Linked DNA regions of Oreochromis niloticus. The protein of the gene in region 1 interacts with the protein of each later gene in a pairwise test. Links are inferred from orthologs where the notes say so. Each region holds a gene or a part of one and is shown in the gene's direction. Other genes may lie near its edges. The genes, in order: disc1, exoc7, mpped1 and xrn2.

Region 1 (7,251 bases):
CCATGCTAAGAAAATAATGATAGCATAGTCTGTCGTTGAAAATAGATGCCTTTATTCACGATGGGGCCAAAACAATTTTATTGCCAGATTTCACCTCAGAGGAAATGTTATTTTATGATTCACATTAGTCACCTTTAGGTCTGTATACATATCACATTTTGATCTCGCATATATTAGAAAAAAACAAAACTATGACAAATTATATTTTGTAAAAACAATTTAGGCTATTTGTAATTAAGTAACTATTTTGTATTGATATGAACTAGATCATTTTGATGTGGTATAAGTTTGTCCCTTTTTATGACTGTAATAGAGAGAGTCCAAATAATTTAGGTCTGCCATCTGCTGGGCAATTTCAGAACTATGTATGCAAACAGATACATGTAGAGAGAAAATAAAGTTTTGGCCTCCTTTTACACTCCAAAGCCAAGCCATCCATTTACAAAGGAGATGATCAGCAGCCAGAGGTTAAAGAGGGGGTTAAAGGTGGGACCGGAAATTATAGCAGGCGATGATAAGGGGGCCTAACTCCCCATTTTCCTGTAGAAATAAAGGTCCTCTGCTTCACTGTGAATATATAACTATCTAAATATAAATAATACTACATGCAGTGAATGTTTGACTGCATGGGTATTTGTATGAACCTCAGTCCGCTACTTACTATTCCTAACTGCTTTACTTTGTACAACTATAACTATAATATATCACAGTGGTTCCATCTTGTGCTTAAGTCCAGCTATTATATTATTACTGGGTTACTACGTCTCCTCCTAATTTGTGCAACAGGCAACTACGTCTCCTACTGTATGTAGTTATTACATAGGAGGCCTGTGCACATTATAATCAGTGCAACGCACTGAATTTTTTAAGTTATTTTTTTTTTAACCTAAAATGGTTGTTCGGACTTTAGCGCCCCATTTATATAAATAAACAAATGAATAAATAAATCCTGGAACAACTCTAATCCAGAGATTTGCTGTAAGTCTACTATCTGGACTATGGCAGACCAGAAACCACTCTTAACATCTTTGTCAGTAAGTGCTATAAAACTTACAATGATTCAGACCTTTGGCTGGGATCAAATGACTACTCTCGTGGTCATGCTTAAAAACTTCCTGGTTCCATATAAAGGAGAAAGTCAAAAAACTGGCATGGGCTTTTTTATTAGGAGAAAAGAATGCTGTGAAATCCACAATTAGACTATTTAAATGTGATACTATATATTTGTGTATACAGTGACATAAAATCTATTTATATGATGCATCAAATGAATATTTTGTGAATACGACTAAATCAGGAAACACGTAGCATATGGTTGTGGTTATGTATGAAATCAAAGTTGGATGTAAACGTGTAAAGGTTTGATGTAAAAGTAAAAACGTGTACACACACTTTTGGGAAATGTAAAGAAAAAAAGTTGCTTCTTAACTTATTGTAGTTGATAAACTAATATATTATATCTGTGTGAAGTCTGACATCTGCTGGTCAAAGTCAGCAACACAGCTACGGCACTGTAAAAATGCATTTGATGGATGCATTGAATGCATAGCTGATGAAGGGAAAGAGCAAGCTAAACCTAACAGAGCAGGAACTAATGTGCTATTAGTCAACAACTACGTGTTTATCCTTTGATTAATTCATCTTTTATCCTTGCAATCACTCTTTTCCTGACTGCTTAATTATTTCATAAATGCCCTCATACATAGAACAGATGTGATTACATCATTTTTATACGTTTCATCTGCTCCCTCATAGACACCGTGTGTAATTTTAGCATCTTCTTTCTGGGTTTTTCACATAATATGGTGTTTCTTATGTCTTAAAACAAGTCATCACAAATGTGCCCTGTCCTTTTAGATGCAGTGGCACAGAGGTAAGCCAAAAACTAAAACTTGAGAGGTTAGTCAAAGGGCTTCTCCTGGAAACCAGCCAGCCTGTGGGGCAGTGCGCTGATGTCAAAAATGCATTAAGGGCCTCTAATCTTTAACAGAGAGCAGGTGATGGCACTCTGCATGCCAGGCGACGTGTTTCATCCCTGCTCTTACCCTAGCTGCGTGTAAGTCCTGCATTCTGTCTGTAGAACAGAGCTTTTTGTCTCTGAGTATTGTTCATGAGCCAGGCGAGCTGAATGAAAGGAGAACTGGGATGAGTGGTGTGTGAAGGGGTGGATGAAAAGACTGCGCTATGTGAGGTCTAGGGTTTGGTGCTCACTGCCGAAAGAAAGAAACACATTAAGATGTGTAAGGGAGTAAAGACCTGCTATACTGTGATTTAAATGACTGAATCACACGCTTCCTGTGTGTATAAATTTGAACTTAATAGTATTTGTGACTTAATAGTAGAGAGGTGTTTTTTCCCCCCATAAATTTCCTCCACAATCTTCAGTGACACTAAAATACAGCACATATAAACATAAAGATAAACAACAGCGTTGTTTAATCCGGTTCCGTGTCCGCTGCTACTTCCACAGTGTGCCCGCTGTGGTTATGAGGCGGTCTGAAGGAGTCTGGAGTCAAATTCCTGAACACGTAAGAGCTCCAACGCGACGCATGACGCAAGGGCGCAGCGACTAACGGATTACTGATCAACTGATCGATGTGTCGACTAACAGACAGATTTGCCTGGGCTCTGTACTTCTGCCACTGCACACCACCGCTGGTTGTGTTTTCCATACTTTTCCCACAAGGAACAGCACGACGTGAAGTCCATCTTCTTTCTCCAGACCGTCAGTTCAGGCGCAGCGGGACCCACTTTTTTCCAACAGGGGGGAGAAATGTAAGAATCTGATGTACCATAAATGTTTGTGTCAAGAAATTTTCATCAGGGACAAAACAGCGCGCTGGGAAGCCGTTTTCACCCGTCACTCACTGTGTGCAGTGAAAATATAGCAGCCCGGGTTCACTTTTCCATAACGGAAATGAGATCAGTCCCTTTGCCTGGCTCCACTTCTTCTAAAACATGGTCGATGTAACTCTATGCAGGCTTGTGCCACCGGGGTCTGACTTTCTTTGACTTTTCAACACAAACAGCCTTTTTTTTAATGGAAAAATGTTCGCTGGACTGATGGGACTGGAATGCCACAGCAACTCTCTACTTCACCGCCGCGAAGCCATTCAAGGTAAAACACAAGATTTTTAACTATCAGCTGATGTTCTCACACTAACACTGGTCTTTTACAGGATATATATACCCCCCAGGAACTACATACAACTTTAATACACCGAAATTGGATAAAATAGTAATATTAGGATGTACTAAGCCGGCAGTTTTTAGGGAGGGATAATCATCAGATGATTAAACAAAAGCAGAACAGCCGCAGTGAAGACTCATAGCCTGTTTAATAATGCATTGCCCGGAATGTGTATGAAAGTTCACAGTTCCCTGGATCATAAAGGTTTAAAGTCTCCCTACCAGTCACTCTTGGATGAGTAATGATAGATGATGAGTTGGAAATGATTAAATACTTAAATAATATGTTCCTCACCTCTTTAGACAAAGTAGAGAAGCATTTTCCTGGATATTGTCTCTATTTGGGTCTTTTAACATGTTTTACACAAATAAAATGGGCTTAACTAATAAATAGAAATGTGATCCAAGTCTGTTCATGCAGGATGCCGGTAATCAGACCTCCATTAGACCCATTTATCAGACTGTTATGATCTCGCTACATGCAACAGGGTAACTGCTGCAGTTAAAAGGCTGCTAGATGTGGCAAACCTTAGATAAAAATCTATTTCCCAAAGTGCTTTCGAAACAGCTTCTGCTGTGAGTAGATTTTTCCCTGGTCTCTGGTTTCTGTTGTGTGACATTTTTGAATGAATCTAATCTACAAAAAATATCAAAATGTCTATTAAAGAGTACGTGCAGTGTGTAAATGAATCTCTATAACACAGACTCAACTGATCCTCATGTGATTACAGTCTGACAAGAGCATAGCAGAGACGCAATCCTTGGAATATCCCCACCCTTTAACCTACCGTGCAAAATGGAGAGATAAGGGCCAAGATTTAGGACCAAAGATAGGACTTGGCATTGGAGCATACTGTATTGTTGGGTTTTCATCCACTTATGTAGTCATTTCTTTAGTAAGATGAATAGATATCACTGCTAACTTTCACTTCCCCTTTTTGTGACGCTCTGTTTGGTCACAAGTGGCGAGGTTTCGCACATCTGCCGAGCAGTGCTGCTTCTCAGGAGGTTGCTGACATGCAGATCCGCTTGTGTGTGTGTGTGTTGTGTGTGTGTGTGTGTGTCAGAGGGTGCTGAGCTTGTTCCTCAAATGTTTGTGTTTTTATGAGATCCCCTGCATTCCTCTCTGTCTTTGGCTCAAGCACTTTCAGTGCCCAACTGGATGCAGTGTTTAACCTAAGGGTGCTGAGGAGGGCCTCTTTAATCTCCAAAGGTAAATAATCTCGCCTCTTCTGGCTGACATGCTTCTTTTTCTCAGGCTCTCTGCACAGTTTCTTCAGCACTGATAACATGCTACAGTGAGAATGCTGTCATTGTGGCAGAGGGACTGTTTTATCTTTGGTGTTGAACCACAGAACGTCACTGCTTGCTTGTTTGTATTTTCTGCCTGAATTCCTGGCGAACTATTTTAGCTCAAAGCCCGACAGGAAGTAGAAAATACCTCTGAGGGGGTTCAGCCAAAAAATAGATGCCCCTCTGACACACACACAAGCCAGCAGACACAAAACAATAGGCCCCGAGGCATTTCCTTCCCCTTAAACCGGGAAGAGCTCTCTTTGTGTAATCGAAGTATGGCGAGGATACAGTAACGTCCCTCTTCTTTTGACTGCTTAGTTCTTGATAGAAGGCTTAGTATAACATCTAGCCACACCAGATGGTAGACAGTGTGCGGTTGTAGCTGTAACCCACAGATAGTGTTGGGTTTCTTACATCAGTTATGGACCAGTGGCCACGTCTGCAAGGACCCTCTAATGGACCTGTGTGTAACCCAAGCTTCGGTCCCAGTGGACAGAAAGCTCTAAGTGGCACACACACACACGCACAAACAGAAAAACACTGTGTCTACAATGGGAGCATCCCTGTGTTACTCTCACTTGAAATACTGCTATCACTGGTCTCTATTTGAGTCTCTTACAGTCTCATGGGATAGTTTAGGAGTGGCATCGTCGAGGTTACTGGGTGTTGGGAAGTGGGCTGTGGTTTGCTCATCGGTCATGCTTTGTTCAATGCCCCGCATTCCTGTCTTGATAATTGTGCTCCCACTGCAAAAAACACATTATTTGTAGAGGTTTACAGTTGTGTAAGATGTTGTTTTTATGTGTTTGTTTGCGTTTTCTACTTTTGGATTTGTTTTTATCGTAGTTAAAGCGTTTAACAGGCTTTTACACTGACAATAGTACAACTGATCCCAGTGTTTTCAGCACTGTCAGTGTGCCTCTGTGTGACTTCAGTGTTCGTGAGTGGGAGGAGAAAGCAAGAGCCAGAAGTGAAAGAAGGAGCAGCGCAGCTGTACACAAAGGGGCTGTTGATCCCCAGCGTTTGAGCGCGCCTCCTCGTCTGAATCCTAAACATGATATGTATTAATCACGTGGCCCTGCAGCAGGTGTCTGACTCCCATCACAATCTGGTCTTTATCATTACGCTCCACTTTCAGACCAAACGCTGTTTGCATGCATGTTTGTATCACTTCTTGATACTAAGATTGGCAGTGTCTGTGCTTCACAAGCTATTTCGGTTACGCCCCCTTTACAAAAAACATGGATTTCGTAATAACTGAAAAGTTTTGAGACAAGCCACCTCTTCTGTGAGTGCAGTCCAAGTGGGTTTGATAAAGCGAGGCTAATCAGTATTGTTTTAAACAAAGGTGTTTTCCACATCCTTCAGTTCATTGCTTTGGCTGGAAGACTCACAGGTTTTAGCACCCCGTCAGAAATAGATCTCAGTTAAACTCTATCAGCCTTATTGCTTTAAGAAAAAGAGAGAAGCTGAATGGTTATAAAAACAATAGCATCATCAGTGCCGGTTTGTTAGTGGACCAACATGAATCAGACATTGCCTGTGTGCCCTTTGCCCTATATTTCAGTGAAATAGACCGATTTAAGGCTCCAGATCCAGGTGTGAGCCCCCTGCTATGCTTTGAGAACCTGCCCTCTGAAGAATTTTGCTATTTGCAAAAATAAAAAAATGCAAATCTAACCTCAGAATATATTGTTCATGCATCTGGTATCCCACAGAGAGGAATGTCTTAACTTATAAATGACTGTGCAGCTTTGGTATTTCCCAACAGCTGGAGCAGAACCCTGGGAAATGTCACACATCTGCCCAACTTTTTTAATTCAGTCCATTAGGCACTATCTTTAAAGAACAAGGTCATTTTGCTGGATCACAGCTGCTTCGGGTACTTGTGTAATTAGCACATGTAGCATTACATCTTCCTGCTGTAGCTGATGATTACATGGTTAATCCTACCAGTTCTATGAGGTCATGCGTTATCTTCCTCATGGCCATGTTGTCAAGCTTAATGGTTAATCTCTGCATCGACAGGTGGCAGAGCATCAGGGACAGCTGGCAGCTCCAGCCGTAAGAGGCTCCACCGAAGACCAGGGTACATGAGAGGAGAGCAGTGCAGACTGCAGAGCGCCACTCAGGAAGAGGAGGAGGATGTTGGGACAGCCACTTTTATTACCAATGGAAAATCAGGATGTGACGCTGATATAGATGATGCAACTAATGCTCAAAGGCCAAGTCCAGCTGCTGCAGACAGTGTGTCTTTAATAAATCATCAACAGCCTGATAAACACACGTGTAGCTCCTGGAAGACTCAGAGCTTTGTCTGCTCTGTTACCCACCCTCCTTCCCCTGTGAACTGCAATTCTAAGAGTACATCCAGCCATCTGGGCCAGTCCTCACTGCCCCACAATGAACTCAGGTTAAGTTCGAGCCTGGACACTCATTCAGAGCCAGAGGACTCTTTTAACTCCAGCTTCAGTTTCATCCAACAGTCACTTACCTCCAGCCAGAAAACAACCGCCACACCCACACAAGAACAAGAACTAAGTTCATCAACAAAAGCATCTGACCTGCCTCAGACAAAACCTGAAACCTTACCTGTCGAGCACAATTTCCCTAAGCAGTCGTCTCCTGCTCAAACACTACCTGGAGGAAAGTTTTGGCGAGAATGCCTGTTTGCCGCCCACGTAGAAAGATCCCACGTGCCCGACTGTGAGGCCCAGTCTGTTGATATAGAGGTCACCTCCTCACTCTCCCTGGACTCGGACAGTA
Region 2 (7,293 bases), on another chromosome or scaffold:
TTTTTGCTTTTTTTTTTTGGATTTCTTAAAGCCAGAACTCAGAGGAAGAGTGGACCAGATGAGATAAAAAAAATTAATCAGGAGCTTAAAAGCAAGATTGGAAGTCGTCCTAAAAGCTTGCCAACTGTTTTCACCTTTGGGTTATATATTATTAGTTTTGAATGAATTGTCGGTGCTGGGATGAGATGATGAGCAGTCGTGAGAAAAACATGGTGAAAAGTTTGGTCATAGATCCAACCGTCGTGTTTATTGACAGACAGTTCGGAGCCTTGGAGACGGGATATGCAACAGCCGGTACTGCAAACATCCAGTCATAATCATGATGAAGTGAAGCAGAGTTTACAGGCCAGCCTGACATTTGTAACGTGCTCTTTATTTAATCACTGTAGCTTCACTGCCTACAGTGAGATTTAAAAACATCTGGTTTCTGGATGTTTGTCGTTCACTGGTTCTTGTGGCACTGTTATTGTGTGCTGGTGATGTTCATGTTGAATCAGTTTAAATAGCCTCATGGTAGTGAACAACAAGTCCACATAAACTGGTCCTTCTAAAAGCAAATCTCACAACAAAACTGCCATCTTGGAATCAATTTGAATCCCTTATCAACAGAAATGAACGAGAGCTATGGGATTAATTTCAGTGGTCACTGGTGGAGTGGTTAGCAAACTCACTTGGCAGGTTGCTGGTACGATTCCAGCTGGAGATGCAAATCCTTTTTGGGGTTGAATGGAAATCACATGGTGGGAAACTGCCAAATCAAGCATGCTGAGCTACTCGCTGTGGTGACGCCTTGGGGCAAAGCAACAGCTGAAAGCAGCATTTTAGCTTTTACTGGAAAAGAAAAACTGCACGTAGAAAATCAGCAGTTAGATCTGATAAAAGATCTGACATCGTGACATCTTTACTGCACTATCAGGTACGTGGTGCCTTTTACCACACAGCTGAAGCTGTTGTGACCCTTTAGTGCGTACATGTACAGGGTTAATGTTTTTTCTGTTTGGGCGATCGATTGGCTCATTGAGTGCCATTTTTTTTTTTCTTTAAGGCTTTCCTAAATCTCCTGTAGAATCTCCTTGGATAATATCTCTGGTTGCACTCTGTAAGGCAGATGTGGAACTGGACTCAGTTTCCAGAGTCACACTGTTACACAAAGACTAAATAATTAAACCTAGGAAACAGTGTTCGGATCCAGCACCATGTGAATAAGATTTGCCAGAGTCTCCATAATGAAGCCATAAATCTCTCCATCTGCAGAACATCACTGGGAGGTTGATGGTTGGTCTGCGGTGGTGGAATCAGGTTGATGACGATGGACGAAGCCACTGGGTGTTTGAGTCGAGGAAGGTGAGATGCATCTCTGCTGAATCTGCTCTGGCTCTGACTTGGAGCTTTAGCTAAACGTGACCTTGACCTCTTGCTCTGTATCGGGTTGCACCGCCCAGATGTTTACAGTCAGTAGGCCTTATCATGTTCGCATGTCCTAACTGAGATATGTTTCCGTCTTCTTCAGGGTACAGGGAAGCAGCAAGCATCAGATTCAGAGTCCAGAATATTCTGGCTCGGACTGATTGTTTGCCCCATCCTCTGGGTCATCTTTGTCTTTAGCACCCTGTTTTCATTCAGGATTAAATGGATGGTAAGTTGTTAGATTTAAGTGACTGGACAAGTGCTGTTTTTCTTATTATCAACAAATCCAATTAAATTTTTCTCACAGCACTGTCTTACCTAGCATTCCTGGCTGTGTCTCTCAGCTCTAAGCCCACTGAACCCTATTAGTTCTTGGTGCTTTCTTAAGTAAAATTAGACAATAATTACTTGGTAAACGTGTGCCAGTGTTTTCTTGCTCTCACCCTGCATCTCAAGCTTGCTTTCAAAGTTTTCCTGCTGCATGAGGGGGGACTTTTATTTGCATGTAAACTGTATATAAAAGATGGGCATAGCCGTCCTGTGGTTTTGGGTTTCACAGTTTGAAGCCTCAGTGTTTTTGTTTAGGCTAGCAGATGGTTAGCAGCTACGTTACCTAAAACATCACCTAAGAAAGAAGAAACTGTCTGTAGAGGGCAGTTTTAAACTACAGGTTTTATCCCTCGAGATTGTTGTTTGGGAGTCAGACACAGGAACACAGTGGACTCCTTCAGCCTGAATGCTCCATGTCTGAAATGCTCACAATGTGATTTGAAGCTTTATGAGATGATGTGTCGGACATGCACCCAGTGTTTTCCCAGGAGGCTATATGCTCGTTTGAGGTGCACATGACCTGATGCAGTAAGGTCCCAGTAAGGTTAGAAGTCGTAACTTTTAAAAAATGAAAACAAAGATCAAAATCTTAACAAGGAATCATGATAGAAACAGACACTATTAGACACTGATGGCAGTGAAGAGGTTCACCTTTAGCCTTTTCGTGGGATTTAATAAGGGGAATATGAAATATGACCAGGGTTTATTTCAGAAAAATTTTCTTCTTTCTCACAGCCCGTCGTGATCATGGGCGTTGTGCTGCAAGGCGCCAACCTGTACGGATACGTGAGGTGCAAAGTGGGAGGGAAGACCAGCTTAAAGAACATGGCTACCAATTATTTCGGACGACAGTTCCTCAAACAGGTGAGTTTTAAATAAAACACACAATAAAAAGTCTTTTAATTTAAAAGTATTTGTCCTGTTTCTAAGAAGTCTTTTGTGTTTTTCCTCCTCAGACGCTGTCTAAGGAAGAGGAATCGTAGAGTGCAGCTCTGCGGCGTTAACACATCTGCATTATTCTCAATGCTCTGATATATAAACCTTCTTTTTCTCAGTGGACACGGGCAGGAAAGCATTCTCAGAAAAAGGGCAGTTTTTGATTGTGTGCTTTCTTTAAATGACTCAGTAGAGTTGTCTTTATCTTCCACACAGAGGTCAGAGGTGGGTTTTCACTACCTGAGGTCCAGCAATAAATCCTCTGATTACCGAGAACTGCATGAGTGTAAAACAGCTGACGCGTCGGAGTGACTGTAGTTTGTGTCATAGTCTCACAGCTCCTTCAGATTTCTTCTTTTAGTTAGTTTGCCTCTAATAACTTTATAAATTAACAGTAATTAAAGAACCTTTGAGAGATGTCATACAGACATTTTGGTTTGTATGAAAGTGTGTAAAGTGTAACAGGAGATTTGTAAATATGTAAGTGAACAAACTGTGTGAAGAGTCATCTTTTGTGCAAATACATTTGTAACGTTTTTCCGAACTGGGTGCTCGTGTTTATTTATGTGGAGAGTCTGATTAGTTCCAACTTTTTATAATGCGGGAGCCTCTAAGAAAAGAAAAGTGTTGAATAAAAAGAATCCCGTAAGAGATTCAAGAAAAAGGAATAAATATAAATAAGATTTGTTTCCATTAACCAACACTGTTCCAGGTTTTTGTTTAATTTCAGAAATTTATAGACTCAAAAATAAAAATATTACTTAATGAACTGAGTTTAAACATTTAGTCTGCTAATTCCACGGTTTGTTATTCATGTATCTAATTAGTTATGACTGTGTTCTCATGCTTTTAATGTGTTTAGTACTGAGTGCAACAGCGACCTCTAGTTGTTGGTTCTCGTCATTGCATGTAATTGCAAACATTTTTTTTCTCAAAAACTTTGAGAACTCTTGATTACAGTTCACAAATAACATAAATATTTAGGCGTTTGTGTAAAAGTGCCTCAATGACAAAATGTCAGTGTTGAAAAGTTTTCTTTAAACTTAAAAATCTTCTGATTTACATTCTTAGACAACTACCTGTGTTTGTCTTTTGTAAATAAAGTTTTTAAAAAAGATATCCGGGATAAACACCCCTTACCGGAAGTCGGTGTATTTGACCTCCATAATAAAGGTGACTCACATTATCTAGCAAAAAGGGCAACAATTGTGATAAATGGGGGGACAAAAATCTTATATTAAAGGATATAAAAATTTACAAAATGTAAAAAGAAAATTAACACTTTTGTGGGATGTACACCTCATACTGCTTTACTCTGTTCATTTTTATTGTCATACAAACAGTAAATGCATTCATTTCTAAAGCTTTTTAGGTGGGTGGGACAAAGGCTTCACAATTTTAGTTGAAGACTATACCCAAAAAAATGACTGTGCTCCATAATAAAAGACAACTGAAGAAGAATTGTGTGTTTACTTTCATTTGCAGTTAGAATAAGATATTAAATAAACTTAAACGTAATCCTGATTTAGTACAAACTGATTGGGGGGAAAACCGATGAGCATTTTTTTCACTGTTCAATTTAGTGCCGATGGCTGTTTTATTTTGAAATTCTAACCGGAAACCCTTGCCCTGTTACGGCTAACCAAACTAGCTTAACCTCACCGCTTTTAGCTATCCATGACAGCGGCTCAGGGGTGTCGTTGTTGTTTTTATTATCTAAATCGGCAACTTAGTCACGTTTTAGCCGCAGAAGAGACTCCTTTGCTTTAAATTTCCTCCAGGATGATTCCTACGGAGGATGCGTCCGCCAGGAAGCGGGAGATCGAGGAGAAACTGAAGCAGGTCAGACAGCTGGAGGCTTGAGAGGAAGGAAGCTTCCCTTCGAGCTACAACCCACCAATGTGGCTCAATACCCGAGTTTAAAATGATGCTTATTGACCGAAGGAGTGTCTTTAATGTCTTCAGAGTGAAATGAGCGAGTGGTTGGTTTTCTTTCTGCTGTTACAGGAGCAGGAGACGCTGTCGTTCATCCGGGAGAACCTGGAAAAGAGCGATCAGCTGACCAAAAACATGGTAGGACGGTCCAAACACACCCAGGGACAGCTCAGGCTGACACTCATAATTCTCATAATTAAAGGCGGCGGACTGATCTCCATTCGACAGTACTTTGACCCATTATTAAAAATAATTATTATTCTTGTACTTGGATTGAAATATCTACTTATAGTTTCTATAGATTTAGTGAGTCGATGAAAGCAGCCTGTGGTGTCATTTTTCAGCTTTCACCCCACTTCAGCTGGGACTCATTATTTAAGGCGCTATATTAAAGCTGCTTTTATAGCCCAACTGGTTTTTCACCTGTATTTCTTTCCCAAAAGGTCTCCATCCTGTCTTCATTCGAGAGCCGCCTGATGCAGCTGGAGAACTCCATCATCCCGGTTCACAAGCAGACGGAAAACCTGCAACGGCTGCAGGAGAACGTGGACAAAACTCTGTCCTGCATGGATCACGTCATCAGCTACTACCATGTGGCCAAAGACACGGACAGGATCATCAGAGAGGGGTGGGGATGACCTTCGTATGCAAATGTTTTGTGGTTACACAAACTCCGACATGTATACTAATTTTCTTTTTTGTCTCAGACCTACAGGCAGACTGGACGAGTATCTTGCTTGCATTGCAAGAATTCAGAAAGCTGTCGAATACTTTCAAGACAACAACCCAGACAGCCCTGAGCTCAACACAGTGGTAAAATATCTGCCTCTCTGAAATTACAGTTGTGGTAAAAATTTTACAATCCACTCATCATAGGTGTGAATGTCCTGGAAAGTTTGGGCTTTTATTAATTTCTTTGAAATGTTATTTTCCCAGGGTGGGAAAATAATAGGATTGAGGTGAGGATGTTGGGAAGACTGTACCAGAATCTTAATGTTGTCCTGCTTTCTGTGCTCTTGTGTTTTTCTAGCAAAATACATAAAACGAGCCTCTGATAAATACAATGTGTGTATGGTGTGTCGTGGTTCTCACAGTACTACGGTGAAAATATTTTTTTTAGCCACCTGTGTCTGAAAGATAAAAAGCTATCTGAGGCACATGAAGCCAACAGTTCCCCGTATTTACTGACTGAACAACATTATACACAGCATAGCTCTCTGTGTGAATCGTGCTGTTATTCCTACATTCATTTATGTGTAAATTTCATGCACTTTTTCCTCACTGCAGACGTCTGCTTCAGTCTCTGTGCCGTTCCGAGTCGTAGTCACTAATTTCATGACCGTATCTTCTTCTGCAGAAAGCACGCTTTGAAAAGGGGAAGGAGCTGCTGGAGGGCGAATTCCGCAGCCTCCTGACCCGCTACAGCAAACCCGTTCCCCCCATCCTCATCCTGGACGCCATCAGCGTGGATGAGGAGCTGGAGGTCCAGGAGGAGGTGGTGCTGGAACACCTGCCCGAGGCCGTGCTCCAGGACATCATCTGCATCGCCGGCTGGCTGGTGGAATACGGACGTAATCAGGGTACGGCTGTGTTTGTTTGTTGGAGGTCTCTTCCTATTTAAAGGAAGTTCTTTACCACATTTGCAAAAATCATCTGATCGTTGGGCTTTTCTCTCTAATATTGGAGGTCCTCTACCTTACAATCTAAAAATCATCTTACCACCAGAGCTGGGATGATGTAAATGATTAAATTGGCTTTGAAATGTGCAGGCGGTGTAGAGAAACTGGAAAGATTGTGTCTAATTTTGCTCTCCTCTTCCTGCAGACTTCATGAACGTCTACTTCCAGATCCGGTCCAACCAGCTCGATCGCTCCATCAAAGGCCTCAAGGAGCATTTCCGCAAGAACAGCGCCTCCTCCGGTGTCCTCTACTCGCCTGCCGTCCAAACCAAGCGCAAGGACACGCCAACTAAAAAGGCCCCGAAGAGACCAGGTCAGCAACAGATGTGCCTCATTCAGACCGAATCCACAATCACGCCACTTCAGTCTGTAATCAACTCGCTGTCCAATCCCGTCTTCCATAGATCAGCCTAACAAACACGCATGATCCTGCATAGTGACGGATATTAAATACACTCGTCACTACATCCACAGTCTGTTTCTGTCTCAGGTTATCCTCCACAACCTCTCTGTAATCACTCAGTTCACCGAGCTGTAGCGCACTTCTACCACACACTGTGTTTCTCTGTGATATTACACCCTGCTCTAACTAATCCTTCATCCTCTCCTCTTTCATAATCCCTGTGTTGTGATGACAGTCTACATCCCAGGTAAACACAAAGCTCTAGCGTGTGCCTCGTGCTTGCTTCTGTCCGTCAGATGCCACATTTCACGGCAAATCAGAGACAGCATGAGGGTTTGCGTCGTTTTATTAGCAGCTGAGACAGCAGAGGTTTATTTGTCCTGTTGATGGTGTAGTAGGTGATCCAGTGGAGATTTTAACCTCTAGTTTCACGGCAGAGCGTTTCGGTGATGGGATGAGTAAGGTGGAGGTTGCCACCAAACCGCCGATAAACAAAAGTTGATGAAATTTCTTTACAATTTTACTAGAAATGAATAATTTATAATTGCATAGAATACAAATTATTATTTATGATTGAGACTAGCTCTATAAAATGATGTGTAA
Region 3 (7,778 bases), on another chromosome or scaffold:
TTGCATTCTCTACTCTTTCAGTCGTATGACACCCTCGTGATAAATCAGTGGTGATGTATTTTTTGTCTTCAGTTTCTTCCATTTTAAGAACAATCATTTGTAATTATATCAAATCTATTATATGTGATTTAATTGTTAATATATTCCCAATTTTACTGGCCTGTACCTGACTGGCAGCAGCAGTCTACTTTAATGTTTGAGTTCACTGCCTGTTTATAATATTACTGTAACTGCTGAGCTTCTCTGCTGTTAGTAATTAATCATATTTGACAGGCAGATCTGATATTTCCTACATGATCTTTCCAGGACGTCCAATCAGCTGCCAGCATCTGCAGGCAAATGCGACTGTGCCAGATGCTAAGATTACTCTCCCTTCGCTGTCTTGTCTGCCTTCCTCATTCATTTGCTCTTCTGAAAGTTCACTGGCTATGAAGTGATAAAGACAGAACATGGACTGATAGGCTTAGGAAAATGTGACCATTAGAAGGTATCTGCAAAAATGCAACTTTATTCTGTTTATTTTCCCATTATGTGCATAATATAGTGCATACTGAATAAACCAGATACTGAACTTTTAATATATATGCAGCCAACACTGTAAGAATTTGAACCACTTCATGCTTTCCACTTCAGCAAAATCAGCCAGAAATCAAGTGTCTCATCTGCAATTTGGTGATTTTACCGCAGTATTGAAAGAACTGAGTGTGACGTATGTCTGTGAAGGTTCTCAGTCATCCAGGTCATCGTAGTCTGAGGCGCTTGGGAAGAACAGCGTCTGGACTTCTTTAGGTTTCTTGAGAAGCTGAGAATCTGAGAAGCTTCTTGTGTGTGAACAGTACTGAAGTCCATTACTACTTAGAAAACAACACATTTTGCTTTTTGTAATTTTGCTGTATACCACTAAAGATTTGTGTTCAACACTCTCGAGGAGGAAGCTATGTCATCGTCAAAGGATGCACGCAAGAGATCAAGAGGGATCACAACAGGATACAAAAGCCCAAAACAGACGTTATTCTGAGTAACGGTAATTTTGTTGGTCAGGTGTGAGAGGGTGTTTTTTATTCAACTGAATTTTTTGTACTTGCTTTGTCTCTCAGTGAAGTGACCACCAGATGGTGCACTCACTTCAGCCTGTTCCTCTGGAAGCTTCCACTGTGGGCACATATTTGAGTTCCGGATTGTGCTCTGTTTGTTCAGCTCATTACTGGCCTAAATCCCAGTCCAATTACCTGAGGATAAACAGGAGCAGAGGTGGTGATGTGCTGTAATGCTGTAATTTGACTGATTATCCCTTACACAGCCAATAAATGATGAAGTTCTCCTTTCAGCAGAAATGTTGAAGATTTTACAGGCCTTTGCTTGCTTTGCTTTATATATTAATAACATACATTGTAATGAACAAGGAAACAGGTCACAGGTTGAAGGAAGTGAAACACGTTACCTACAGAAATCTGCTACAAAGATGCATTTTATTGCTGCAAGGCACGCTGCCATAGTCATGGGCCAAAGGGATCAGGGCCACCACACTGCTGTCAGCTCCTTTTGCATGAATTATCTTCTGATTCTAACATTTATTGTACAGCATTTCTTTTAATTTCTTTTCTAACAAACTACCACAGCACAGGGCAGAGTGTGTAATTGTCACTGCTTGAAGTTCTTCAAACACATTTGGCTGCAGATTCCTTTAAAGGCAGCTTTCAAGCATGGTTGAAAAATCATTTGTGTCTGATACTGAATCCTCCTTCCTCATTAAAAACTATGAACATACAAATATTGCTCATTTATTCTGCATCACTGGAAGTCTGTTTTAAGTGTCTACAGTGCTCTGGTTGAAGTTACCTTTTGGATCAGGGCTCAAACATCTATTCAGTTTTATTTATATAGTACCAAATCACAACAACAGTCGCCTAAAGACACTTCATATTGTAAGGTAAAGATCCTATAATACAGCGAAAGCCCCAACAATCATATGACCCCCTGTGAGCAAGCACTTTGGTGACAGTGGGAAGAAAAAACTTCCTTTTAACAGGAAGAAATCTCCAGCCGAACCAGGCTCAACGATGTGCAGCCATCTGCCGTGACCGGCTGGGGGTGAGTGGAGAGACACAAGACAAAAGACGTGCTGTGGAAGGGAGCCAGAGAATGATAATAACTCATAATTAAATGCAGAGAGGTGTATAAACACATGGTGAGTGAAAAGGGGTGAGAAGGGGCGGGATTCTACGGTGACAATCTGAGCATCACATGTGCTGAAAGCCACACATGGAGAAAAGGACACTCACTAAAAACATCTGTGGTTTTGAAGAAAATACATCTTGTGTTTGTTGAATAGCTGCGAGCAGTGGCAGCGATATAGTTACCCCTAATCCTGCTCGTGGGTACAATATGTACATTTATTTTAATATTAGATCATGCCGACATTGTTTATATTTTTAATCAGTGGATAAATGACTCAGTGCAGCTCTCATTAAAGCATTATAAATTGCAATATTATGTTAGAATTGCAACATTTGTAACATTTTGATATGACAGTTTTGTCAATTTTGACTAAAATGCCCAACAGCAGTGGCTGAAATGCAGCCCCAAAGCATGACAGAACCTCCATTGTGTTTTCAAATTTCACATTTGGATTAACACTCTGTGGCAGCTGTTGCCACTGATTTTCAGTCCAGGTCTTGTGTAATTTGGCACACATCAGCCGTCCCGCCGTCTTTCAGTTCCTTCAGAATGGCTTCTTGATAGCCACCCTTCACCTGAACGCATTTGTGATGAGACTGCATCAACCGAAGGGTCAGATGCATCTCTCAGGTCCTCTTTCAGATATTCATCTGCTGTAGATAGTCTTTTAGGCGTGCATCTTCTTGTTTTACCTTCCACTTGTTTCATTTCCTCAATTTTTTAAGGGCATACTGCATCCCATGTCAACATATGTATGTTAACATATGTATGTATCAAAAACTGGAGAAAGTGAGATGGTGACATTTTTTTTCTTTTGTTTCTCTATTCCCTGGGATCTTTTTATCTGTATTTAATAAGAACACACTTAATAAGATGATAAATATATCCAGAGAGATTGCAGGTCATCGACGACACAGTACAACAACGCGATGTGTCACAGCCTCTCTTTTGTAAATTTGAATGGATGCAGTCTGCACAGAGGTACAGGATAACATGGGGTGAACTCTCTGTGGCCATAGAGCTTTTTCTGATATAACTGATGTTTCTTGTATTGCTTTGATGCTATTGAAATGGGTTGTTGCTGTTATTATGAAGGACTTTGTTGATTCCTTCTTTGCTGTAGTTGTATTTATCTGGCAATTGCCACCAAAACAAATAGAATTTCTGAAAGGACAATAATAAATGGAGCATAAATTCTATTACTGGATTATTAGTATTCATCGATAGAGGTGGAGCTCATTTTTATCACCCAGTTTTTTCATCCAGTAATAATCATTAGTGCCAGTTGTACTCAACTAGCACTAATGATTATTTTCATTTGGTTTGTAAATAATAAGAGAAATAGTGAGAAGTGTTTCCACAAGTTTTAAATGATCTATCAGTTAGCATTATGGTCAATTGATCGCTTAATTGATATTTCAGCTATATTTGTATAATCTATTTTTTATGTATAAAAATCCCAGTTTATAAAGTAGCCAGTAACTAAACAGCGTCAGACAGTGAAAGTTTCTTCTCTTCTGAAATGTGGAGTAGAAGCAGAAAGTTGTATGCAAAGGCCTAAAGTGCAAGTAGCTCCGATCTGTGCTTTATTGCAGTACTTCACTATGTTTACTTACAATCCCCGACTTCTATAAAGTAGTTCCAACTGTTCAGCTGAAGAAATAAAATGCCAGGATGCGCTGGCACAGAGGCACGCGAGTGTTCAATACATGTGTTTTTCCTTCTTTAAAGCAAACCACAGCATTTGATAGAAAGTGAAATCGGACATGTTCAGACTGAGGTTGTGTGTCCACTTGTGGTTTCACACAGATTATTTTACCGTCGCGCTTGTTTCACACATGTTGGCTTGTATAATAAACAAGAATCCAAACCCCAAAACTTGACAATTAACTTTGTTCTGTTTGACAGTTTTTGTAGTATTTATCCTCGATTTCTATTTTCTTAACTGCTTATTCAAGTTAGGGTCAGATGGGGGTAAAGCCTTTCACAGCTTTCATTGGGTGAGGGGAGGGTTCACCCTAGACAGGCTGCTAATCCATCTGAGGGCTAACACTGCATAGAATCGCACAGAGAGAACATTTTATATTTTTTTCTGTAAATGTCACAGAGCTGCGGTAGGTTTCTGAAATTATAAAGAGCAGCTTGTATTGTTGTAAGTATATGTGTGGCTGTTTGTGATCTTCTTTAGTGGTTTTCTGATAGAAATGTTTCATATCTGACATGTTCATTGTCCATCTAAACATTAATCCTGAGGTCGTTATTTTCTTTGCGTAAAACGGAAACTTGAAGCAGCTCTGTAAGATACAGACAACGTCATGAGCATCGCGTGTGACTGATCCAAAACTCCAGGACACCGTCAAATGGTGGATGGACACGGCCCGTGTGTTCCAAGTGTAGACAAACGCCCATATTATTGTATTATTGTAGGGTCTTTGCTTTTCAATATAAAGTGCGTTGAGGCAACTGTTGTTGTGGTTTCGTCATGTATAAGTAAAACTGCACCGAACTGCTTCCTCGGGTTTTCTGACCGGGAATGAGCCCAGTGGTGCCGCACGCAGCTGCTCTCGGTCCTCCCTCCCTCCTTCCTCTGCTCCTCCTCATTGTACCGCTCACCGGTGAAACACAGTGGGCCGGACTGAGAGGACGAGAGAGAGAGGCAGAGAGAGAGAGAGAGGCTCTCCCTACGACGCTGTGCCGGTGCACCACGGGGTACGCATTCAAACTGACCAGCGCGTCTCTGTGGCAGCGCAGACACTCTTCTCTCCACACCATCCAACACTGAGCAGCCTCACTGCGGCTGAAGCTGGTAGGTAGACTCCTCTTTATTTTACAGCTCTGTTTTCAATGCATGACACAGCGGAGCAGAGATTTGCCCCGAACCCGCATACCGCGGCATATTCTCGGATTAATCTCAGCCCTGATGCCAACCTTTCCTCTCGCTTGGCTTCGCGGTTGCAGGGAGCTTTTTTTTCCTCCTAAATTCATATATACAAAAGGCGTTCATTTACGTCCCCAGATGTCGCGTTTTCCAGCGGAGCTCACCGGAACGCTTTTATGGTCGTTCATACTTCACCACAGCACCGCATCCAAAGGGCAGTCAAGACTGAAAAGAAGGCTGATAGCGGTGCTTCCAGGCTCCACGTGTGAGAGGGAGACAGCTGGTGCAGCCTGTGGAAAAGTTTCATTAGAAGTCAGTTACTCGGTGTGAGTGCACGGGCACCTCTGCAAAACGCGCATGAGGGCGATAATCACAGACGCACTTTGAACTTTTCAGCTGATTTCTAATTAAAGTTTCTGCCTGCAAAACGCTTTGCTGAGACAAAGTGAGCAGGAGCGAATTAAAGGTGAAAAACGTCACATTAAAAGAAGTTAATTGGCACAGAAATCTTTGTGGATGTTATTCTCTTGTATTTTTCAGCCTTGGATAGGAAATTTCTTTCACCAAATTTCACAGAGCCGTGACTCCAAATCAGACCAACACTATCTCCAGGCTATGCGTAAAACAGATAACTGTAATTCAGCGACACACTCAGATGCACTTTAATTTTCTCTGTGTGTCCATACGTAGCAGGAAACGGCCGAATAAGCAGCACACGGTCTAATGTGACGGTCGCTGTTAAATATGACAATGTCCCCACGAGGAGAGCGCATCAATCAGACGTTTCTGCATTTATCAGCCGCTCCACTTACACTACTGAACACTGATGGATCTGTGTGAGCGCTGCAGGGCTTCTCTTCTCTTCTCTTCTCTTCTCTTCTCTTCTCTTCTCCAACTACCAAATAGTGCAGATAATAAAAGCGTTGTAATTCTGTTATAAATTCAAACAATGACAAACAAATCAAGCCAGAAAAAACAGTAAATAACGCTTGTATCTATTTTCACACTCAACTCATCAATTCGTTGCATCTTAATTATTCCTATAAACTGTGATCTTCACTGCACGACAGTATTAGTCTTGTCACCAGAAGTCTTGACCCTCATTTTTAATCAGACGAGGCTGTCATAACTCAAATGATCTAAAGGCACTTTTGCAGAGAACACAAAAATCATGAGCTAATGAATTTTGGCTGGAGGAAATGTTTTTTTCTGTCTGGACAGAGTCTGTGAGTGAAAACTTGTGAACGTGTAAAACAGATTGTGTGGGCTCGAGTGTGCAGAAGTCTTGATCCCCCATCTTACAGAGTACAGGAGTTCCTTTGTTAGACTATGTGACCAGTTTCGTCTCTGCAGTGTGTGCTGAAAAACAGCGTTACACTCACATGAAGTTCAGTACACTTTAAACCACAGACACATTTTGGGGTCATGCTGCTGAGGTAAAGTACGCATAAGCAAATCAATTTAGACTCAGAAATTTTTTTTATGAATTCATGAAATTCATTTACAGCTTTTCTTTTGGAATATTTTAAACAAGATTTAGAATTTGACATTACAGAAAGAGCCGGTGGATATGATCTCTGTGAAATTTACAGGAGCTAGTCTGTTAAAATTCAGCACAATGAAGCAAAAGAAAACACAAATGTACACAATTACAAATCATGGAAAAACGGCACCCATTATTTTTTAATGTGACAGTAATCCACTGATAGTTTTCTGTACACCTGTAAAAACAGGGACACAAATTCAGGCTAAAAACAGAACAATATTGCAACAGTGGAGTGAAGACTGCTTTTATTGCTTTCCTGCTTTCTTAAATATGCTTGTATGTTGATGTTAGCATGTTTCCATCAGATCAGACGTCCACATTTTTCACACATAAGTTAAATGTTGCTGGGAGCTGGTAAAATGCAGTAAAAGAGGATTTACCGTTGGCAGAAAGAAAACACTCACTTTAAAATAACAAAGGACGAGGCGCTACGAGAAACGTTTTCAGAGACAAACAGGCTGTCCACACAGAAGTTGTCTCCAACATGTTGTCAGTCTCGCGGATGTCTGATGGAACAGATGTACATTAATTTTAATCAATACGGCTGTCTGCACTGGCATGTAAATGTTTAAGCCTGCGCTCAGATTGAATTTAGCGCTGTGTGAACAAACTCAGCCATTTTATTCATTTAATGAAACCAAAAGTCCTGTTTAAAAAAACACTAAGCAAAAAACTTTGAGGTTTTCATGCAGCAGAGCATGTCATCTAGGAAGGCCCACCGAATGCAAATAGGGGTATGTAAGCTCACCTTCCTGGTAAATTACTTTGTAATTGGAAAAGTGTCTGGGTAAAAGACAACGTCTTCTTTCCCTATGATAGCTTTCCAGAGCTGTACAGTCCCGTCTCTGTCATAGCATCGCTCAATTACTTGTCACACTGATACCAGCAGGCGCCCACCATTTCAGCGCCTTACATACTCTTTTAATTTCAGTGTGAATGGCCTTAACTACTGCGATTGTGCATTCAACGGAGCACGTACGAACCCACTGTGGTCCAACATTTCCAGTGTAGGTACAGATGCTTCTTTCACTACATGGACAAGGTGGGAACACACTTTCATATTTAAATGAAAAACAAAATGAATTTGTTAAGCTACGTGTCAGATATAGTTTTCTTTCAGCTTTCAGAAACCACCCTAAATTTCAGAGATTACTGACCTGCTGATCGCACCAACAT
Region 4 (7,734 bases), on another chromosome or scaffold:
GTAGCATTATAATATAATAATGTAATGTCATAATCAAAAGTTAAAGAATGAAAGTGAAATTCACATACACAAACACGTGTTTGTTTGGCAAAAGGACACACGTTCTTCACTCGAGTGCAGCTGCAGATACTTGTGTTAGAAAAGCTCTGAAGCACTGAAGTACTGTTCCAACTCCTTTACCTAAATAAAACAAAAGTACAGGCTCTGAAATGTATTCAGCTTATAGAAGTAAGACGTAGCTCTTTGAAGGACATTCTACTTTTAATCATCAGCTGTTTTTATGCAAAATTTACCGACCACTGTGATTTTCTCTCCTAATTGTTGTTAAAAGTTTGTTTCTCTGTCACAAACATCTCTTTGATTTGTACTCGCGTTCCCTGCACATGTTAAAGTGCGTCTCTTGACCTGACTTTCTCCCCTCACCCCCAGCCAGTCGTGGCCCCTCGCTGAGCCTGGTTCTCGTGGGGATTTCTTCCTGTTAAAAGGGAGTTTTTCCTTCTCACTGTCACCAAGTGCTTACTCATAGGGGATCAACTGTTTGCATTACTGTATGATGTTCACCTTACAATAATCTGCACCACATCACAATACCGGTAACTTGTTCACTGTTGTTGTGATTTGGTGCTACATAAATGAAATAAAATTGAATTAAATAGAAACACATTTGTCCGAATGAGGCTCAAACTGTCTCAGATGAGAACTGCCAAACTGGTATTTTTCCAACATTCATTAATCGGACATAAACTTGTTCTCACAAAGTTTTATTTAATTTCACACATTTTTTGTCTTTGGTTCCCACTGATGAATGACTTCACTCAGTTCAGTTCAGTCAGTTTAATGGCCGTACTGGGAAATTTGGTTTGCAGATATGCTCTCATGAAATCCATCAACAATATAAAAAGAAGAAAAAACAATACATAACAAATACAGAAAATTAAATCCACATCCAAAAAACTCATAAGATATAATCCTCCAGTAAATATCAGTATAATTTAAAAAAAGGTACAGCTATCACAAATTGATTTTTTTTTTTTTAACACTATTGCATAGAAAATAAAGGAGTTTTTTTGTCCTGCCACATTTTACTCTTCATGTTCTGTATCTGCAGCCTGAAGCAAACAGTTCAAATTCTCTGTGCAGGGGTTCGGTCTGGCTCGTCACATCTTCGCCGGTCTTTTGCACTTCCTCCTGCTCATAAACAGCAGGTAGTGAGATCTGTAGGACTTTGCTCGAGTTTATCGTGTCCTCGGTTCTAACATTTCCAAAGCAGTCAGTAATGGAGAATATTAAAACAGAGTGATGCTTATAGCCTCTCTTTAAAACAGTATCTTGATGAGTGCCTTCATGTGACGCGTTTAGGGGACATCTGCAATCTAGCTTACACTCTTCCTGTGACAGCAATGCATAAAAACCCATCTGGCCTCAGGTTGCAGAGCATAGCTCATTCACAGAAGACACCTGCTATTTACAGCTACGACTAAAACGGATGCAGGACTGTTTTTGCTTTGTTTCTGTTGCTTAAATTAGTTGCAGCTGAGATTTTTAGAAGTGGTTCAATAACATAATTTCCCACTGCCTTGTTGTTTACTCTCTTATTTACCATTTTGATTAGGTGGAAGTACAGTTGTGAATATTCAGTGGAGTTTTTCAAACTGCACTCTTGGCTTATAATAAGCTAATTTCATTCACTGTTTTGACTGTACAGTTTTATAGCTCTTAATGACTGCATTTGGAGATGTAGAATAAGTTATACAGTAGAATTTCCAATTTTAATATGATGTAGAAAAGAAAAAAAGATGTTGAACAAAGGTAAATAATTATACGTGGACTTTTTACCTTGTTTTTACAAGGCACTGGGATTCATTTACAGAATTTCTGTTGTTGAATTTATGTGTTGGAAATCATCAAGGAACAATTATTTCAATTAACAATTTTTATGCATTGAGATTTCTGCAAAAGAAACACTGTCATCTGTCCGTTCACTTTCTGATGCTTATTGGAGTCCAGGTAGTGTGGGGAGCAGTATAAACTGAGAGGTCCAGGCCTCCCTCTACTCAGCCACCGCCTCCATCGAGGTGTTCCGAGACATGTGATCTCTCCAGCCTGTTCGTTTTATGTTTTCATGTCCCAGACCTCCTCTGTCAGACTCTCTGAGATTTAGCAGCAGCTGTTCCTCTAGAACAGCTGGAATAAGACAAAGTAAAGCTGAACCCTACTGTGAAGCTCCAAAAGAAAAGATTGGAAAAAATAATTACATATGCCCTTTTTTAAACATGCATTGGGATATAGAATCTTTACTGTTGAACCTGTAGTGTAAATAGCTTGATTAAATTTACTGTCCATGGACACATACAGGTTTTTCTGCATGATCAAGTCGAATTTCATCTAGATGTGATATCCAGATAACTCGGGCGATGATCCACCAGGTGAGGGCGCTCTTCCTCTTTCAGTCGCCTGCATGCGTGTGGAATATCAATCCAGAGAATCCCCTGAACAATCAGCTCACAGAGAGATGAGATAAAGACTGAACCTTCACGTTTCCATTTTTTTTCCAGCTCTTCGAATGAAACATATTTTTTTAACTTCTGAAATGCTTAAACTAAAACTTCTGCTGTGAGATTGTTTTGATAAACCAAAATTCCCACTTTATCTCAGCAGAACAACTTTATGGAAATCAGTCAAAGCCCAGAACGAGCGACCATTTGTCCATGAATTCAGCAACTCATCGTGTGCAGGTGCCGGAATGTATTCTTGTGTCATACTCCCGAGCTTCACCTCCGTGCGCTTTCACATCTGCCATTTGCATCAGATTTCACTTTATCTTCTCTATTTCTCTCCACAAACACTAAAACGACGCCTCCGTCCTATTACCTGCAGCTCCAGCGTAAATGTTTATGGAAATGGCTCGTCGGAGCAGGCCAAGTGTTTTCCATCAGCGGCTCTTTGCAGTAATAATACTGCAGTGTTGATGTCAGACCCACCCTGCCTGAAGAGGGGAGGCTAATGGCCCCTTTCCCCCGCTGCATGAACCAGTGAGGAGAGGAGGGAGGGTAGAAAAAATCTAATTCACCTTAAATGTGCTGCTGCAGGGCTGGGAAGCGAGAGGGCATCTGTTCAGAGAGTCCCCATTAAAGGAACATCATGTAAGATCAACCACAGCGCAATTATAGGGAATATGGACACGAGTGAGAGTCTGCGAGGATCACACCTCTCACACACCTGTTGGCTTTTGGTGGTTTCTTCACAGCACTGTTTACATTTCAGTCCCCACTTTTAACATGAAAACTCAACTATAGAAGTTATTATTATTATTATTATTATGTAATATTTTATATGAACAAAAACAGTGAGTGACAGTGCACATACCCCTCAGTGAAAGTACATGTTTATAACAATATTAAAATTAAAATTCATAATATGTGACAATAATATTAGAGTAGTATTTGCAATATCAAAATGCATAAATTTACATATAAGTCTGCTCAGTGTCTTAAACTTTACATTAGAAATTAAATATGAGTCATATTTGTTATGTATTTTGTGGCTGTGGTTTTCCTTCATTTTTATGTTGGTACACATATTTAAATTGATAGTAAATGTTTAAATATAAATTTAAAAAGCTTTTATTGATATCCTTAAACCATCCATAAACTCTGTCGTATAAGAGCTTATCAGTGTCTTGTAAGGTATCAATAAAAACATAGGATGTCATTATTAAAATTTGTTGTACAAAATGTTAGATTTTCAGCATGACCAAGTAAAGCATGTCTTATTTCATTTAATCTCCAAATCGTAAATAAACACAGCCATTAATACAAATGCACGACAAATAACATTCTAACATTTTACATCGCACATCTGATGATGTATTTGTGCTGTGAAATATACACAATATAAAATACAATAAACACATTTAACAGATAAAACAGATAACTGAACAAAACTAAATGTTTTATTTTGAAATATTAGAAATTATTAAATGTGTTTCTTAAAGTTGCTTATTTGTCATTTTCTCTGTGTTAAAAGTTTTAAAGTAAATTATTAATTCATTGACTGCATTAGAGAACTTTAGAAAATATGAACGTGTAGACAGTTTACAAAGTATAACAAAGAACAAACTGATAAACATGAGAAGAAATAACAACGGCTTATACTGATTTGATGTAAATGAAATTAAAAAGTAATAATTTTATAGAATTTTGATGCTTTTCTGCCTGAATATTCAATAAATTAACTGAGAACATCCTACAACTGTTTTGTAAAAATAAATAAATGAGACATTTTGAACAACAAAACAAAAAGCATGTGAATAAATAAATATAGAAATATAATAATAACAAATAGACTGATAAAGAACAGCAAAAAATTATGATCTGTGTGGCAACAGAAACTTATCGCTGACAAGCTTCAGAGACTTTCTCAGGAAGCAAAGATTGTTCAGGAGTTGATTTATACTCATGTTAATTTTAAAATACCTGAAGCTCTGCATATTAATATCCCTAATAACAAAAATAAAGTATTAAGGAGGAAATATAGATCCCAGTTTTCAACATTATATTCCACTTACATAAGTGGTGAATATAGTCCAGGAATAAATATTTAATTTATTAATTTATAATCCAGGTGAATCAGTTGTTTCCATTATCAGGACCGTTGGACGCCTGCAGTACCGTCTCTGACCCATGGGGTCACTGTGGAGTTGCGAGACTCTTCAGAATGCTCCGGAAATATTCGACATAAACCGGAAAAGGTACACAATGGCTACGGCCAGCAGCATGTAGCCAACGCATCTACAGTTACGATCTTGTTTTAATTAAGCTGTTTTAATCATTTCGTACTTGTTCGTATTTTAACCGTTGAAATAGAAACGACTGTTTACCGGAGATGGGAGTTCCGGCGTTTTTCCGTTGGCTGAGCCGAAAATATCCATCAATTATTGTGCACTGTGTGGAGGAAAAGGTGAGTGGTTAGCTTTGAAAGCTAGCAGCCTGTCCGAGGAACATTATCGGGAAGCTTTTTAATACTCTTCTCGCCCATTTGACTGCGTTTTAATCGCTGCACACAGCGGGTGAAATTACTACGGCAATGTGAAATGTTTTGGCGAGAGCGGAGACGATAAATAAATCAAAGTTCGTGCAGTCTGTGTTTACTTACACGTGACACTGTAAACAAAACTGCTGCTGTGTGAATGTTTGAAACGCACGCGGAACTTTAACCTGAGACAACAAACACACGAAGTGTTTGGATTCGTTGTTTTTGTATTGTTAAAATTAACAATAGTTATAATTATTTTACTGGTCTGCTGTTAAACAGTACTGTTGAAATGCGTTGAGCCACCCCTCGTTTCTTTATGTTTTGTTGCCAGGAAGCCAGAGTTTCTTTAAAAGTGCTCTTGAGCAGCTGTTCTCTAGGTTTTCTGAAGGTCTTTCAAGGTTTATCTTTGGACATTGGCTGCTTTTGCACTTTGTTTTCAATTCAGTCCTTGTACCTGAACATTTTCAATTTTTCTTCGTTAAGACTCTGAAGCAATCGCGCATAGAAGGAACCTAAGTCAAGGGATGGAGCAGAGTTTTCTACACATAATGGACAATTAAGCATAGATCCAATTTTGAATTGTATCTGTATGCTGTTTGTTACTCCAGCCTGTTACAAAAACAGATCATTTGTTCCTATGACTTTAGCTGAATCTGCAAATAAATGTTATATATCCTAGGCATTTTTTGCACTAACAAGCTGATTCACAAAGAGCTATTTGCCATAAACATTGCGTACAAAAGTAAAAAACTGTCTACAGCATACATATCCTACGTAATCACAAAGCTTTCTGACATCTGTGCTGTAACCTGACATGCATGTCTGTAGAAATGTCGCTAGGTTCTGTGTGAGTGCAGCTCACAACAGCTGAGGATGTATTTTTGTCCAGAGTTGCAGCTCTGTTGCAAATAAGGTTATTTTTTTGTTTCCTTTCATGTTAACAGGGGAAGGAGTGTAATGGAGTTCGTATTCCTGTTGATACAACAAAGCCAAACCCCAATGAGGTGGAATTTGACAATTTGTACTTGGACATGAATGGGATCATTCACCCCTGCACGCATCCAGAAGACAAGTAGGAACCGTTCTCAGTTTAATCTGGACATAAAAGACCGATCTTCTGTGTTTACAGCTCAGTTCATTTCTGATATAACAGAAACATACTCCCTGTGAGGTTTTTGTTTCCAGTGTAATTTATTTGGAAATTAATAATTTAATTGAAACAGTCTTTTTTTAAATTTGATATAATTATACAAATTTATACATATATAAAAGTTCATAAATTAAACCATACCAAGTCTTCACTTTGTCTCTTCCTCCACAGACCGGCTCCCAAAAACGAGGACGAAATGATGGTTGCCATCTTCGAGTACATTGACCGCCTGTTCAATATCGTGCGGCCGAGGAGAGTTCTCTACATGGCCATCGACGGAGTGGTAAGCTGCTGCCATTAACAGAAACGTGCAGCTTTTTTCACTGATGAGCATTTACAAGTTTTACTGTGAGTGAAGTAAACTTGTTTTCAGTGTTACGCCAATCTGACAGTAGCTTTGATGTAAACTAAAGTTAACTCTGCCCAGGCTCCGCGTGCCAAAATGAACCAGCAGCGCTCTCGACGGTTTCGTGCCTCCAAAGAAGGGGTCGAGTTGGTGGAGGAGAAGAGTCGCGTGAGAGAGGAGGTCATCCAGAAAGGTGTGTTTTATTTGCCTCTTTGACTGCTGGACTGAAAATATGGGCAATATATTTTAATGTCATATTCAAAACGCTGTAATGTTAAATGCGTCAAATTTGATGCATGGGGTTTTTGTAGGTTTTTGAGGGCTGTGCATCATCTGTGTGTATTTTTTCCCCAAAAAACCTAAATTAACTGATTTTTAAACAATAAATTGCAAAGAAATGGCAGATATACCAAATATGATCAAAATTAAACTTGCATATGCAAATTGATTAATTGATTGTTTGATTTTTTTTAATTATGAGAAGATTTATTAAACACTCCAGTTGAAAAAAAAAATCTTCTGCCAATTATTTCATAGTTCAGGCATTAAAGGGGAAAGATTAAACACTGTAGACACTGTAGACTGTAGACTTTTTTTTTTTAAACAGGAAGTTCATATTTAAAATTGTGTCCATCTCTCAGGGCACACGTGGAGACAGATTGTCATAGCACAGTCCTGCAGTCAGATCCTGAAGCAGCAGAAGTCCTTAATTAAAGATTCTCTAGGCAGTCTTTGAGATGAACATTAATAATGCAGCAAATATAAATTTGCCCTATACAGACAGTAGTGGAGCAGTGATATCCTGTGTGATGAGCTTTCCTTTTTAAAAAAAAATTTTGGTAAATAGTGTGGCGGCTTCCTCACTGTGAAACCTCCTCAGTTCTGTTTTTTTTTTTTTTTTGTTTGTTGTTTTTTAAACCCGATTTGATCAATTTCAGCTCAGTGTAAAAGTCTGCAGAGTTTTATTTCCCCTCTCTTTCTCTCTGTGCCCAGCTTGGATAGGGAATACAGCCACATGGGGGTAACTCCGCCCTCTAGTTTCTTCTCAGTATAATAAGATTTTTTTTTTTTCCATCTACAGGAGGTTATCTTCCTCCGGAGGAGATTAAAGAAAGGTTTGACAGCAACTGCATCACCCCAGTAAGTTTACTCCATCCAGTGAAATCTTGCCTAACGTTTATTTACTTGTAACAACGTAGTTACA

Evidence for each region.
Region 2: the proteins of disc1 (region 1) and exoc7 interact in a two-hybrid assay, tested with the Homo sapiens proteins (2 studies listed by BioGRID and IntAct). The link is inferred for Oreochromis niloticus from reciprocal best matches to the Homo sapiens genes DISC1 and EXOC7.
Region 3: the proteins of disc1 (region 1) and mpped1 interact in a two-hybrid assay, tested with the Homo sapiens proteins (2 studies listed by BioGRID and IntAct). The link is inferred for Oreochromis niloticus from reciprocal best matches to the Homo sapiens genes DISC1 and MPPED1.
Region 4: the proteins of disc1 (region 1) and xrn2 interact in binary tests that used the Homo sapiens proteins (3 or more experiments, as listed by UniProt). The link is inferred for Oreochromis niloticus from reciprocal best matches to the Homo sapiens genes DISC1 and XRN2.

Annotation. Positions count from the first base shown.
Region 1 is NC_031978.2:23,847,609-23,854,859, forward strand, and holds the start of disc1 (disrupted in schizophrenia 1 protein), read left to right. Parts: upstream 1-4,251; 5' UTR 4,252-4,293; coding exon 4,294-4,402; intron 4,403-6,513; coding exon 6,514-7,251. UniProt on the Homo sapiens protein: Involved in the regulation of multiple aspects of embryonic and adult neurogenesis. Required for neural progenitor proliferation in the ventrical/subventrical zone during embryonic brain development and in the adult dentate gyrus of the hippocampus.
Region 2 is NC_031973.2:3,946,463-3,953,755, reverse strand, and holds the start of exoc7 (exocyst complex component 7), read left to right. Parts: upstream 1-4,285; 5' UTR 4,286-4,455; coding exon 4,456-4,515; intron 4,516-4,680; coding exon 4,681-4,746; intron 4,747-5,051; coding exon 5,052-5,236; intron 5,237-5,315; coding exon 5,316-5,421; intron 5,422-5,965; coding exon 5,966-6,188; intron 6,189-6,432; coding exon 6,433-6,600; intron 6,601-6,925; coding exon 6,926-6,937; intron 6,938-7,293. Other genes in the region: tvp23b (Golgi apparatus membrane protein TVP23 homolog B), read left to right, coding at 1,255-1,344, 1,511-1,636, 2,473-2,601, 2,694-2,720. UniProt on the Homo sapiens protein: Component of the exocyst complex involved in the docking of exocytic vesicles with fusion sites on the plasma membrane.
Region 3 is NC_031981.2:37,162,433-37,170,210, reverse strand, and holds the start of mpped1 (metallophosphoesterase domain-containing protein 1), read left to right. Parts: upstream 1-4,768; 5' UTR 4,769-4,984; intron 4,985-7,778. UniProt on the Homo sapiens protein: May have metallophosphoesterase activity (in vitro).
Region 4 is NC_031980.2:23,317,449-23,325,182, reverse strand, and holds the start of xrn2 (5'-3' exoribonuclease 2), read left to right. Parts: upstream 1-4,729; 5' UTR 4,730-4,884; coding exon 4,885-4,959; intron 4,960-5,978; coding exon 5,979-6,106; intron 6,107-6,355; coding exon 6,356-6,467; intron 6,468-6,611; coding exon 6,612-6,723; intron 6,724-7,611; coding exon 7,612-7,670; intron 7,671-7,734. UniProt on the Homo sapiens protein: Possesses 5'->3' exoribonuclease activity. May promote the termination of transcription by RNA polymerase II.